Linked DNA regions of Tamandua tetradactyla. The protein of the gene in region 1 purifies or fractionates together with the protein of each later gene. This does not show direct contact. Links are inferred from orthologs where the notes say so. Each region holds a gene or a part of one and is shown on either strand. Other genes may lie near its edges.

Region 1 (6,307 bases):
AAAATATATCATTACCAAGTAGGATTTATCCCAGGAATGCAAGACTGATGAAAAATCAATGTAATTTACCTTTTTAAACTAAAAAACAAAATTACCTCAATAAATACCGAAAAAGCACTTGACAAAATCTAACATATATTTCTGATAAAAACTCTCAATTAATTAACTGAATTGTAGGAAACTTCCTCAAGTTGATAAAAAGCACTTAAAAAAATCTGCAGCTAACATAATACTGAATATGAAAGTCTGAATGCTTCTCCCTTATGATCAGACACAAGGATGCTTATTCTCATCATTTCTATTCACTACCACACTGGAGACTCTAGACAGTGCAATAAGACAAGAAAAGGAAATAGATATCTACACTTGAAAGAAGAAATAACACTATCTTTATTCACAGACGACATGATTGTCTATGTGGAAAATCTGATGTGTTCTACAAAGAAACTACTAGAAATAATAACTGAGTGTAGCAATATACCAGCTAAATATACAAAACCCAACTATTTCTATATACTAGCAAGAAACAATCAGAAATTAAAGTTTAAAATTCCATTTATAATATCACCAAAAATATTACTTAGGGATAAACTTCACAAAAGATGTGTAAGACCAGTATATTGAAACTAGAAAACACTATTGTTGACAGAAATTAACGAAGGCCTAAATGAATGGAGAGTTATACCTTGTTCATAGATTGACAGGCTAAATATTGTTAAGACATGAATTCTCTACACATTTATCTGAAGACCTAAAAAAATTCCAATTAAAATCTCAGCAGGCTTGTTTGTATAAAGTGACAAACAGACTCTAAATTTCTTACAGATTGCCAAAACTAGTTTGAAAATGAATCAAGCCAGACAACAAACATTACCTGATATCAAGACTTTTAACTCACATATATATGAGCAACTGAATTTTGACAAAGAATGGACGTTTGTACATCAAAATGTCAATAGTGCTTTTCTTTGGGTGATGGGAGCACAGGTGACTTAATTTTTTTTCTTTATACTTTTTTGTATTTTTTGCAATTTTAATAATGCAATCATTTATGTAACCAGAGAAAAGATAATCTAAAAAAATTCAAGCCCTTTTTATGGAAATGAACTGTGTGATATGACATTGTTACCTGAAATGTAGTAATATTGTCTGGTTAATAAACATTAGTCTTTAAACATAAGACACTGGAAAAACTAGTCCATTTGTAAACGAAATATACAAATAGCAAACTGTACTTTTAACCATTCTTTTCTTACTTTACAAATGGAATTTCATTACTTCAAATAAATGTAACAAATTTTGTCTGCATAACCCAACATGATAATCAATCAAAAGAACAAAGAAGAAAAAAAAATCTACGTTAGCAAGTGAAACAGTAGTACAAATTTCATAAAATAGAACTATAATTTTGCTACATATTTGGAAAATGTTAGGGGCATGTGGCTTTTAGAAATACCTATCCTCTTTATTGTAGTTGGATAACTTGAATATCTTTCTAGGCAAGTTAAGCCTGAAAACAAAATAAAAAGCCAACAACCAACAACCATAAATAATTGGTGACAGTGGGACACACTTTTATACAACCCTTTAATGTATGAGGCAAACATAGTGAGACATTTGGATTTATATTATTTCCTTCATTATTGACTCTGAAAACAATATTGAGCGAATTACGTAATTTAAATTTGTATCGTAACTCACAGGAATTGGATAATTAACTTAAGCCATAAAACAACCAGGTAATTGTAGAGACTAAATGCCATCCTAAACAAATTTTGAAGTCTTCCATGTTCAGAAAAATTCTGCATTCATGTCTCTAAATTCTGGCAAATTCTACTTTTTAACATACTTGGACGCTTACCTGGTAGAGCTCTTCGAGGTTGTATTTAATGGAGGTACTACTTTGTATGGCTTTCACTGCCTCATGAAGCTTCTGCCATGTATCCTGAGTGTAATTATCAGGCAATTTAGGTCTGTCTGCAAATCCAGATAGAGAGTCAGGGCAGAAAGACCTCCATGCTAACAGTTATACATCTCTTAAAATGGTCTACAAACCAAGAATTTAAAAGAAAAGACACATAGGTACGAACATAGGAAGTGAATTTTCTAAACACCATTTATAAATGTATTGGGTTACAAGTTATGCAACCATATTATTTCTGTTTTGCTAAATATATTCGGCATTGATACTTCGGATAAATACACGAAAGACAATTTATAAATCTTACAGTTTTTTTCCCTTAAGTTGATTTCAGAAAGGTAATAACATGGAATAGTTATTCTCTACACAATATTTTAAAATTATTTAAATTATGCAATGTTGGGAGGAAGGTGAAGAATGAGCTTAAGATTGTATATACCTGTATCAAAAACGCTTGCTTTGACCTATTATCCGAGATAGGGCTGGTAAAAACTGGAAAAATGTATAGCTTCAGAAGTTACTCTGGTTGAGCTGTGCGAATCAAGATGCCTTAATTATTTGACCTAATTTGTAATTTTCTATCAATTGCAGAGTAATGAAAAAACTGGTACAAATAAAACTTGGCACATTGTTAAATTACAGAATAAATCGCCAAAATCATGTAGTCATGTAAGGTTTTAAAAGCCCTTGTTTCACACATTTAAGAAAGGTTTTTTAGTTTTGATGTAGAAAATGCTCAACTCCGGCAGAGTTGCGGAAACGTGGCCTGCAGGATCAGGTTAAAATGCCGACTCATTGGGCCTTTTACTATCTTAGAAAAGAAATGTATTGTCCTATAACCCCTGCACAAGTTTTAAAACCTTCCTCCACTCCGTACCCAGAAGGTGTAGGGTCCAAAACCGTCTGGTGACCGGACCAAAGTGATGATCAAGTTTGAAAGTGACGTGATGAACAGCCACAGAGGGCTTGCACAGAAATCCAACGAGCAAACGATGGAAAGCTGAGGGGTTGGCCTGCATGCACACTGGGAAGTAGACGGTGGCGGGAGGCGGACCACCAAGTACCACAGCGTAAATGCCGCAGCCCCTCTTCCGCGCCGCCCAGCGCAGGCTAGGTCGGCGCAGGTCAGCCCGGCGCGTGCGCGGGGCGGGCGACCCGCGCCCCTTCCCCATTGGCCGTCCCCGCCCCGACGTCCCCTCAGCGCGGCCCAACGCGCCGGCCTCGCCCGCGGGGGGCGCAGGAAGCCGCTCTCGCCGCCCCTTCCTCCCGGGACGATCACCCCCGCAGCCTCGATGAGGTGCGTCAAGCTGGCCGCCGGGCTCCCCAGGGTCCCGGCGACGCCGCGCGGGGCCGGTGCGGCCCGTGACCCGTTTCGACTTAAGCTTCCCCTCCCCCACAGTAAGGCACGATCGCCCTCCTGCACCTACCTCGGAAATTTTTGATCACTAATTTCTTTGAGCCGCTGCCGCCCCCAGGTTTCGTGGAGACGGCGGCGGCTGCTGCGAGGGAAGCAGGTTTCGTTAGGCCATTGGTGTGTCCAACGAGAGCCGAAAAGTTCCCCTTCTTGGGGGTCTCGTCTGCCATGTCTACAGCCGAGAAAACAAACCGGTGGCGACCGCTCCGCCCCACCCCCACCCTTGGCCTGTCCCCTCCTCCAGTCGCGGCCCGGGCCGCGCTTCCTCCTCCTCCTCCTTCCCCCGCGGCCTGGTCTCCCCGCCTCCTTCTCCGCCCCCGCCCGGTGCCCCGGCCCCCTCTGGAGGTGATAGCTAGGCCCCGCCGGCAGGCTGAGGAGCGGAGGAAGCCGCGGGGTGTCTCCTTCGGGAGCGCGTTTCGGGGGAGTCTGTGCGGAGACGTAGGGGAGCAGTTCCTCTCAGCCCTCCCTTCTTCCCCAGATAAAAGTAATCTCAGCGCCCACACGGCCGCTTGGCTGGGAACCGGCGCCGGTGCGGAGTAAACACTGCCGCCGGCCGGAGCCGGAACCCGGCCTCCTCTCCGCCCCCACCGGCGGCCTCAACTTTCCTAGGCCCGCCCCCTCCCCTCGGCCCGGCTCCTCGGGACTCCGCCTCGGGAAGGGAGAGTCGGTGACTAAAAGGGGCCGGCCCCGCGCGTGGCTGCACGAGCCGCAGTGACTGCTGCCCTCTGTGGCTCAGCCCGGTCTTCCACGAGCTTCCTGCCAACCGCCAACTCTCATGCCCTTGCTATTGTTCTCAAGTCCCGTCTCTCCCGTCCCGTCCCCATGGCTCAGGTGCCCTCAGCTCGGGGCCGACTTAATGTCAATCTCCATCTTGATCTGTGTAATTGGATTCCGTTGCGTACACGGAAGCTTTGGTGCCCTGAGAGGATGAGGGGTTCTGGGGCGGCCAATCACGCTCACCTCCCCTGAGACCCCGCTCTGCGAGCCACCCGGGTCACTCAGCGTGAGGCCAACGGCCACTCCCACCGCGCGTGCGCGCCCCGGTACCCCAAGTACCAGGGCCTGAGAGTAGATCAGCGGCGTACGAGGGTTTAACACAGCGGATTTTTTTTTTCTTTTTAAATATGCAACAGTCGAGAGGAGTCGAAAGACAAGCTACGCTATGAGGTTGTCCTCTGCCACGAAATCCCAAACCCTCTCAGGTCTCAGGGGCCTTCCCATGACACTTCACCTATCCCTTCATCTATGATCTGACTTGCCCCAGTGCGTCCTGGGTGGGACCAAATTGGAAATGAGGACCCGAGGACACAACTCGGTCTTCCTCAGCCCATTTTTCCCGCTGTCCCACCCGACTGAGGCCCGGAAGTTCCAGCGCGCAGACAAGCCATCTCTGACTCCCGCTCCCGCGGGAATTCTTCAGGAGCCAACAGCTAAGGGAAGGTGTAACCAGACCACCTCGGAGGCTCGGGTTGAGAGACGGACCACGGCTCGGAAGTGACGCCAGCGCGCCAGCGGAAGTGGGAACTCAGCTTGTATTTCTGGAGATCCAGCGAGGGGCGGTGATCGTTGCTCACTCTTGCTTTGGACTCGGCGGTCCACTTCCATGGCTCACATCACTATTAACCAGTACTTACAGCAGGTAACTTATTGGCTGGGGGAGAATACAAGGTGGTGCTTTGATGGTTGACCCCTCGGCTGGTGTCACCGTTATGTGCCATCTTTTCGTAGTGCTCTTGAGGTCTGTTATTTCTTCCCTTTGCCTATTGCTCTTTTCACTGAATGGTTCACCTGAAGGGCAAGAGGATTTGAAGCAGGAATTGATATTATAGAGCATTTCAGGACTAAGGGTCAGAATGTCCTGCTAGCCTGTCATCGTAAGCAAGTCAATTAATGTTTGCTGAATATTTCTGAGCTCTTCTCTGCAAAATGGAAATTAATGATTTAAGCAGATATATTTATTGTACTTACAGGAGATTCGCTGCCTTTAATTTAGGGAAGTGTGTGTGTATGTATGTGTCTGTGTGTGTGTGTGTATAAAGGAGCTGTGTGAGTGAATGGATCATGATGTTCTAGTGTTCTAGTGGATCATGTTGAGTCTGTAAGCCACGCTAAGAAGTTTGGCCTTAGTCATTGAAGGATCTTATCCAAGGACTTGATTTAGTCACATTTTTGTTTCTGATAGTTAACTGGTGGAAGTTTGAAGGGTGAATTTAAGGCAACTCAAATAAGAGATGGGGCTGAATCGTTAAGAGGCTATTCGTGTAATTCTGGTGCGATCCACTATGTAGTCATAGTTAACCTTTAGTACACTCCTTCTCTCTGTTAACGCTTTGCATACTTTATATCCTTTAGTAAATGTGTCTCTCAGAAGTTTTGTCTTTACAGCCTGTAAATGGCAGAAGAACAGTTAAAATGTGTATTTCCAGAGCTAGAACTAGAACAGTGGTAGTAAGGATGAAGAAGAGAGGTAAAGAATTTAAGAAATATTTGAAGGAAACATCACCAGGATTTGGGATTAAGAATGTGTGGCTTGAGATACAGGAAGGTGTTAAGAATGATTTTCAGGTTTCTAGCTTAGGCAATGGATGAGTAGAAAACAGATTTGGAGGAAAAAATAAATAAAGATATCTAGTTGGTGGTTGACATGATTGGGCCAGTAATTACTTAGTTAATTGAAATAGTTGGTTAAAAATGGGAATCATGGAAAAAAAACAATTACATACTTTTATATGAATTTAAAACCTACAGCTATCCATTCCCTTGCCAATCTTTTGATATAGGCTTAAGACCTTTACTTTAAGGATAGGTCTGACTTTGTCTTGTCTTTGCAGAGTTAGCATTTTTCAATGTCAGTTTATTTAACAAGGAGGACATAGGCTATTGTGAGGGGATTTGAACATAGGATCACTATAGAATTTTATGTACTTCTTCATCTTTTTCAATTTTCTGCCTGCACCTAATTCCTTTTTTTA
Region 2 (6,307 bases), on another chromosome or scaffold:
GAAGAAACTCACACATACCATACCCCTCACCACTCCCTCTCATTGACCACTAGTATTTCCATCTGCCCAATTTATTTTAACCTTTGTTCCCCCTATTATATGTTTATTTTTTATCCATATTTTATACTCATCGGTCCATACCCTATTAAAAGGAGCAACAGACATAAGGTTTTCACAATCACACAGTCACATTATGAAAGCTGTATCATTCTACAATAATCTTCAAGAAACAAGGCTATTAGAACACAACTCTACAGTTCAGGTGCTTCCCTCCAGCCCACTCCAACACACCATAAACTAAAAAGGGGATATCTGTATAATGTGTAAGGATAACCTAATTATAACCTCTTCACTCTGTTAGAAATCTCCCAGCCACTGACACTTTATTGTCTCATTTCTCTCTTCCCCCTTTTGGTCAAGAAGTTTTCTCAATCCCTTGATGCCAGGTCTCGGGTCATACTGGGATTTCTGTCTTACGTTGTCAGGGAGGTTTACACCCATGGGAGTTATGTCCCACGTAGAGGGGAGGGCAGTGAGTTCACATGCCATGTCGGCTTAGAGAGAGAGTCCATATCTGAGCAACAAAAGAGGTTCTCTGAGGGTGAGTCTTAGGCCTAATTTTAAGTAGGCTTAACCTATCTTTCACAAGAACAAGTTTCACAGGGCAATCCCCAAGATCGAGGGCTTGGCATATTGATTTGGTTGTCCCCACTGCTTGCTAGAATAACAGAAATTCTCCAAATGGGGAAGCTGAATATTGCCCCTTTTCTCCCTATTCCCCCCAAGGGGACTTTGCAAATACTTTTTTATTCACTGTCCGTATTTCTCTGGTATTTATTGGGGCAGCACACTAATCTGGACAAACCAACAAAATCTCATGCCCTATTCAAGATTCCATGTACTTATGGTGTTAACTAAACTGACCATACAAGTTAAATTAGGAAATGCACTAACCAAAATATAAATTTTGCACCAAATAAATATCTCTCCTTTTAGTCTCACATAGAAGTTGAATTTAAAACATGGAATCATCTTAATTTTCTTAAACTTCCATTTTTACTCAAGAAACTACAAAGAAGAAACAAAAAGTAACTGGGGCAGGCTAACATATCAACAATCCTTTGTGGTGCTAATTAAGACCTCTGCCTACATGGGAAAGAAGGAACTGTGACAAACAAGTCATGCTGAAAGTAGTAAGTCAGCTACTCATTACCAGATAACCCTATTCCTACACAAACATTTTGCCTGGGCAGCTTTTGCAGATTTATGGAACCCAAATACGACCTGCCCGAAGTGACTCACGGAGCTCACATCCTCCTTGCCTTCCTGTCCCATTCTCCCATACTTTCTTTGTTCTAAGCAGGAATATAAACTGTTTCCCCGCCACTTTTCTTTGAATAGTAAATTTCTTTTAGTTCTGTTCTCACGTGTATCACTTAGATCAATAAATGTATTCTACATCTTGGTTTTCAGAGTCTGCTTTTAACTTAATGATAGACAAGGCCGTAAGAAATTGCAGTCCTATATATTGTTGGTAGGAGGTTATTATTATGGTTAAATAATACCATTTGGCACTATCTATCAAAACTGTAACCACATCTGTCCTTCAATTGTCATGTGGGAATATATTCTGCCTATACACATATAAAATGATACATATATCTAGCTATGCAGTAGATGCCATAAAACTATAGCATAACTTCACTAGTAATACTCTCCAGCTCTATGAATGACCCTCTCCATAGTTACATATTAAAATCTCCAGGAAAAGTTAAAAGAAAAAAAAAGCAAGAACAGGGCAATGATACCGTGTGCTACTTTTTTTTTGTATCTTTAAAAGTTTTTTTTAAGAGGGTGGGCTACATTTTGTGAAAGCAAGAAGGAGGAAACTTTACATTTATTTGTTTGAATTTGCAAAAAAAAGACACTATGAGGATAAATGAGTAATTAATTTAATTACATGATGGTAGGATGTGTTGAGGAAATAACTAAAAACAAAATCTTCTCCCAACCCAGAAAACTTCTCCACAAAGGTAGAAGAGAAAGAAAAACAATTTTATTATTGAATAAGCATGAAACCAGAATGTGATGCATCACAGATAATCCGCAAAGATATTGCAAAGAAAGAAATTCCACTGTTTTATATAGCCAAACAGATACAACATGTTTTCAAGATAAACAGTCTGCAAATAAAAGGACTTGACTGTATCATTTGCCACACATAGTTCATCTTAAATTCACCTGGTGATTGGGGGTGGTCTTTGTGTTTGCCAGTTGCCTCTATTAAAAAATAAAATGTCTTTTATCTCTATGAGAGGTATAGATAGTTAACAATTTGGAGCCAGATGCCTAAGTTAAACTACTATGGAGATAGGGACTTGGGTGAGAACTTCCTTGATGCTAACATTTCAGAAAGAAACCTCCTAGGTCCTGGAGAAAAATATTCCTGGATTGTAAGGCAGGCAAAAGACTACGTAGTTTTTAAGAAGATTTAAATACATCTCAAAGGGGCAGAGAAAGGATTTACAATGTCAGGTTTTCTAAAATATGTTGTAAGAAAAGTGAATTGGGGGGGAGTCTTTTTCCCTTTTTGCACTTGGGAATTTTTTTTCCTTTTTTGATTAGAATTTATGCTTACGGATGGCTGTATAATTTTTCGTCCAATAGAACAGTTTCTACAGTGAAAGGGGTACGTTATTAATAATTATTTCAGGACAAAAGATGTAAATGTCACTATCCTGGAGAAACTGGGATGTATGATCAACTTACATAAAGATTACAGACTGGTAGGGGAAATGGGGACAATTTTTATTGTATTTTACAGAAGTATTAGCCTGTAATGAATTGGAAATAAACACAACTCATTCTTTACTACAGGTAATTTTAACAGTGCTGCCTTAAAGGAGGAGGAGCAGTAAACCACAGACAGGAGCCACGGAACTTAGTGAAAACGCGACTGTTTTGAGCACCCGGCACTTGCTGGAGTTGCACAAGTGACGCACTTGGAGCTGATCAGCCAATCTGAAGTCAGACACCCTGTGAGAGCGACTTGAGCTGGCCTCTGACGTGAGTTGGGGAGTTCGCGTCACTCGGCCCTGGGGGAGGAGCTAGGTCAGGTTCTACACCCATTCTTTTTCGGCGCTCTGGCCAACACAGACGCCACTCTGTGGCATCTCGGGCTCCCTCTGACTGCGCTCTGGAGGACCACCTCGTTTTCTTTTTGGCGGCGAAAGGTTCTCCCAGCCCCGGCTGAGCGGGAAGGAAGATGGCGGCAGCCGTGCGGCAAGATTTGGCCCAGCTAATGAATTCGAGCGGCTCTCATAAAGATCTGGCGGGCAAGTGAGTGTTTCCCAGGTGCACGGGAGTAGAGAGGTGGGGAGGGAAGCCACGGGACAAGTTCTCCATGGACTGTCGGCGACTATCGCGTATGAGCGAAAAGCGAGGCCCACGACCAAGGGGGGCGGACCTGAGGTCGATGGGAGAAGCAAATGTTGGGAGCAGTAGAAAGCTGGAGGGGACCTTGTGGAGGGGCGCTTGGGGCCGTAGACCTGGAATGACAACTTGTTCAGCCCTCGATAGCATCTTTACTGGCGTCTTGGGATCCTGGAATCGCGGCCTGCGAGACAGGCCTCGGCCTCCTCCGGTGCTTTTTCCCCGTCGCTACTCGGCTTCAAGCCGACTTCTGGCCTCTCTGAGACTTTTTTTTTTAGGGACATTTGTATTCCGAGGCTCCAGTGCAGAGTTTTCCCGGGAGACAGCTTCTCAGAGCTGGCAGGCTGAGGAGGTATGGCCGCTATCATGTGTTTAGAACCACTTGGACCATCTCCTGTGGGTCCTTATCTTTTTGTTACTCTCACTAAGCCGCCGAATCAGAAGAAGGGGGCATATATTTTTGGCATAAGGCGGAATGCTCTTATAATGTGAATCAGGATGTCTAGATTGGTAATTTCCAGAATCTGGATTGCTCAGTAATTTTATTAGAATTTATGTAAAGGCTTAGGTCCACTTCAAATTAAATATTTTGACATTATGCCTGTCCCTCATCGACCTGCAGCCAGATATTTAGCAATGTTAAATATGCATACATAAATGTATGTAAGTATAAAAATACATATATAAAAGTGTACATGAATCATATACCGTTTTCGTTTTGTAGATTTCTCAGCCCTCCTTTCCCATACTAAACAAGCATTCTGTTAAAAATATGCCTTTCAAGTTGACCCAATGTTTATATCCTGACAGTGTAGACCACACCGATTTATGTTAATGGGATACACCTGCCTTTACCTGGCCATTGAATTTTTGACCCTTATTTTCTTTTTTTTAAGGTACTCTGTGCTACCTTTTCTGTGGTGGCAAATATTATCTTTTTTTTTTTTTTTGCATGGGCAGGCTCTGGGAATTGAACCCTGATTTCTGGTATGGCAGGCCAGAATTCTGCCCCTGAGCCACCGTTGCACCGCCCAAATATAATCTGCTTTTATCATTGTGAAATTTAGCTGTGTATCTTGGGCTTAATTATTTTGTGAGACAATACCCCAATCAGGAAAATGGGAATAATTATAGGACTTATACGTAGAGTTGTTTGAGGATAAAGTCAATGTGTGTTTGAGGACAAAATGAAATGTGTGTGTGTGTGTGTGTGTTGTGTACACTCGTATCACATAGAACAGTACCTGGTGCTATAAGGTTGCTGTTGGCAGTAAGTAAATACATACTGACTCATTTCATGGGTGAAAATAAGTTAACTCTGTTTCCATGGTTCAATCCTTTATTGCATGTAATTTTGATAGATTTGGATGGAAGTAAAACGAGCTTTTATTTTTCTCCATGCTTGCTTTGCTTTTTAGTTTCTTGAAGAAAATAAATGTATTAGTTATCAAAAGGGACACTGCTTTTCAAGTATTTGCGGAATTCAGAAGCTTTAGCTAAGCATTTACTTCTTCAGCTTTGAAATGGAAATAAATACTACTACCTATCTCAGAGATGCTAAGGTATCTATTGTTTAACACTTCAAAAACTTAGTGGTGTAAAAGCAGCTAGTATTTCTCAGGATTCTTTGAGTTAATAGGGCTATTTTGCTGGTTTCATTTGAGTTCACTAAGGTAGGTGAAATCAGCTGGAGGTACAGGATCTAAATGGATTCTTCCCACTGGAAGTATTCCTAAGGAGAATTGGTGGGTATAATAAAGGACATGAAGATTTTAAAGGCTTAGTGTCTGTTGCCGTATATTGTATGTCTTGTTTATGAGACTACTTGTCTCATAACACGTTAGCCGATGTCAAGTATTATTTAAAAGAAACGAACAATGAAAGAAAATGTTGCTAATTTGGCAGGCAATATAAATTTAAAAAAAGATATCTAATTATTGAATAAATGATTCTTTTTAAAATCAAGTTAGTCTCTCCTAGTAGTATAAGATCTTAAGAGTTTCCTGAGAAACTAGAACTTTGTTTAAACACTGAAGTATGAAAATTAAAAACAGGTTCCTTTAGTTACTAGTTTCTACTGGTTTTGCTAATAGCACAATGAACTGAAATCCAGTTTATTGTGTTATTAGCAAACTTGTGGAGAATTTAACTAGCTTTTTAGAGGTAGAGATAACTGAAAATAGGTAATTTACTTTGGTGAAGCATAAAGAATTAAAGTACTTAGATGGTGGATAACAATTTGCATATTTAATAAAATTCTTAAGTTTTAACTTTAAATTTAGATTTGAAAGATTAGGACAATACAGACATAAGAAAACAGAATGATTTTCTTATAATGTATGTGGAAGTTCCTGATAATTTCCTGTAGTTAACTTCACTACTTCTGAATAGTCTCCTAAAATATTTCAAAGAACTTTAGAAGAAGAGAGTCTGAGAGGGAGCATTTGGGTAGATAGTTCTTGTGATAATCTGTCTTACCTGGCTAAAACCTACTTGGTTCTTCAAAAATCAGTTCAGATGTTAACTTTTTCTAGACAGACTTCTCTAAACAACCACCAATGAATGCACAGACCCCACCCCCAGACAGGACTTACTTAGCTGCTCTTCTCATGCACAGTGGCATCTGATATTTACCACTGCCATAGCACTTGTTTTGTTTGTTTACTTTTCTGCTTTCCCAACTAGAATGTGATCTCCTCATGGACAGGTACTAGGCCATGAATATTAGGTCCTTGTCAAGTTAATCCTATGATAATATGTACTTTTTTTTTTTTTCCCCAGTTCTGGGTTATAGTAGTACACTAAGGAAGAGAGTGGGCTCTTGTAGTCTAAACATTTCATTTTACAAGAAGCTGGAAAGAGGAGAATAAAGGGA

What was found.
Region 2: the proteins of CUL4A (region 1) and COPS4 purify together in Homo sapiens (affinity purification with mass spectrometry; 7 studies listed by BioGRID and IntAct, with this or other methods). This does not show direct contact. The link is inferred for Tamandua tetradactyla from reciprocal best matches to the Homo sapiens genes CUL4A and COPS4.

The regions. Positions count from the first base shown.
Region 1 is NC_135330.1:183,683,848-183,690,154, reverse strand, and holds the start of CUL4A (cullin-4A), read right to left. Parts: upstream 4,411-6,307; 5' UTR 4,296-4,410; exon of another isoform or gene 3,508-4,295; 5' UTR 3,506-3,507; coding exon 3,349-3,505; intron 2,946-3,348; coding exon 2,799-2,945; intron 1,978-2,798; coding exon 1,862-1,977; intron 1-1,861. Other genes in the region: PCID2 (PCI domain-containing protein 2), read left to right, coding at 4,939-4,974. UniProt on the Homo sapiens protein: Core component of multiple cullin-RING-based E3 ubiquitin-protein ligase complexes which mediate the ubiquitination of target proteins. As a scaffold protein may contribute to catalysis through positioning of the substrate and the ubiquitin-conjugating enzyme.
Region 2 is NC_135350.1:44,643,601-44,649,907, reverse strand, and holds the start of COPS4 (COP9 signalosome complex subunit 4), read left to right. Parts: upstream 1-3,062; 5' UTR 3,063-3,265; coding exon 3,266-3,339; intron 3,340-6,307. UniProt on the Homo sapiens protein: Component of the COP9 signalosome complex (CSN), a complex involved in various cellular and developmental processes.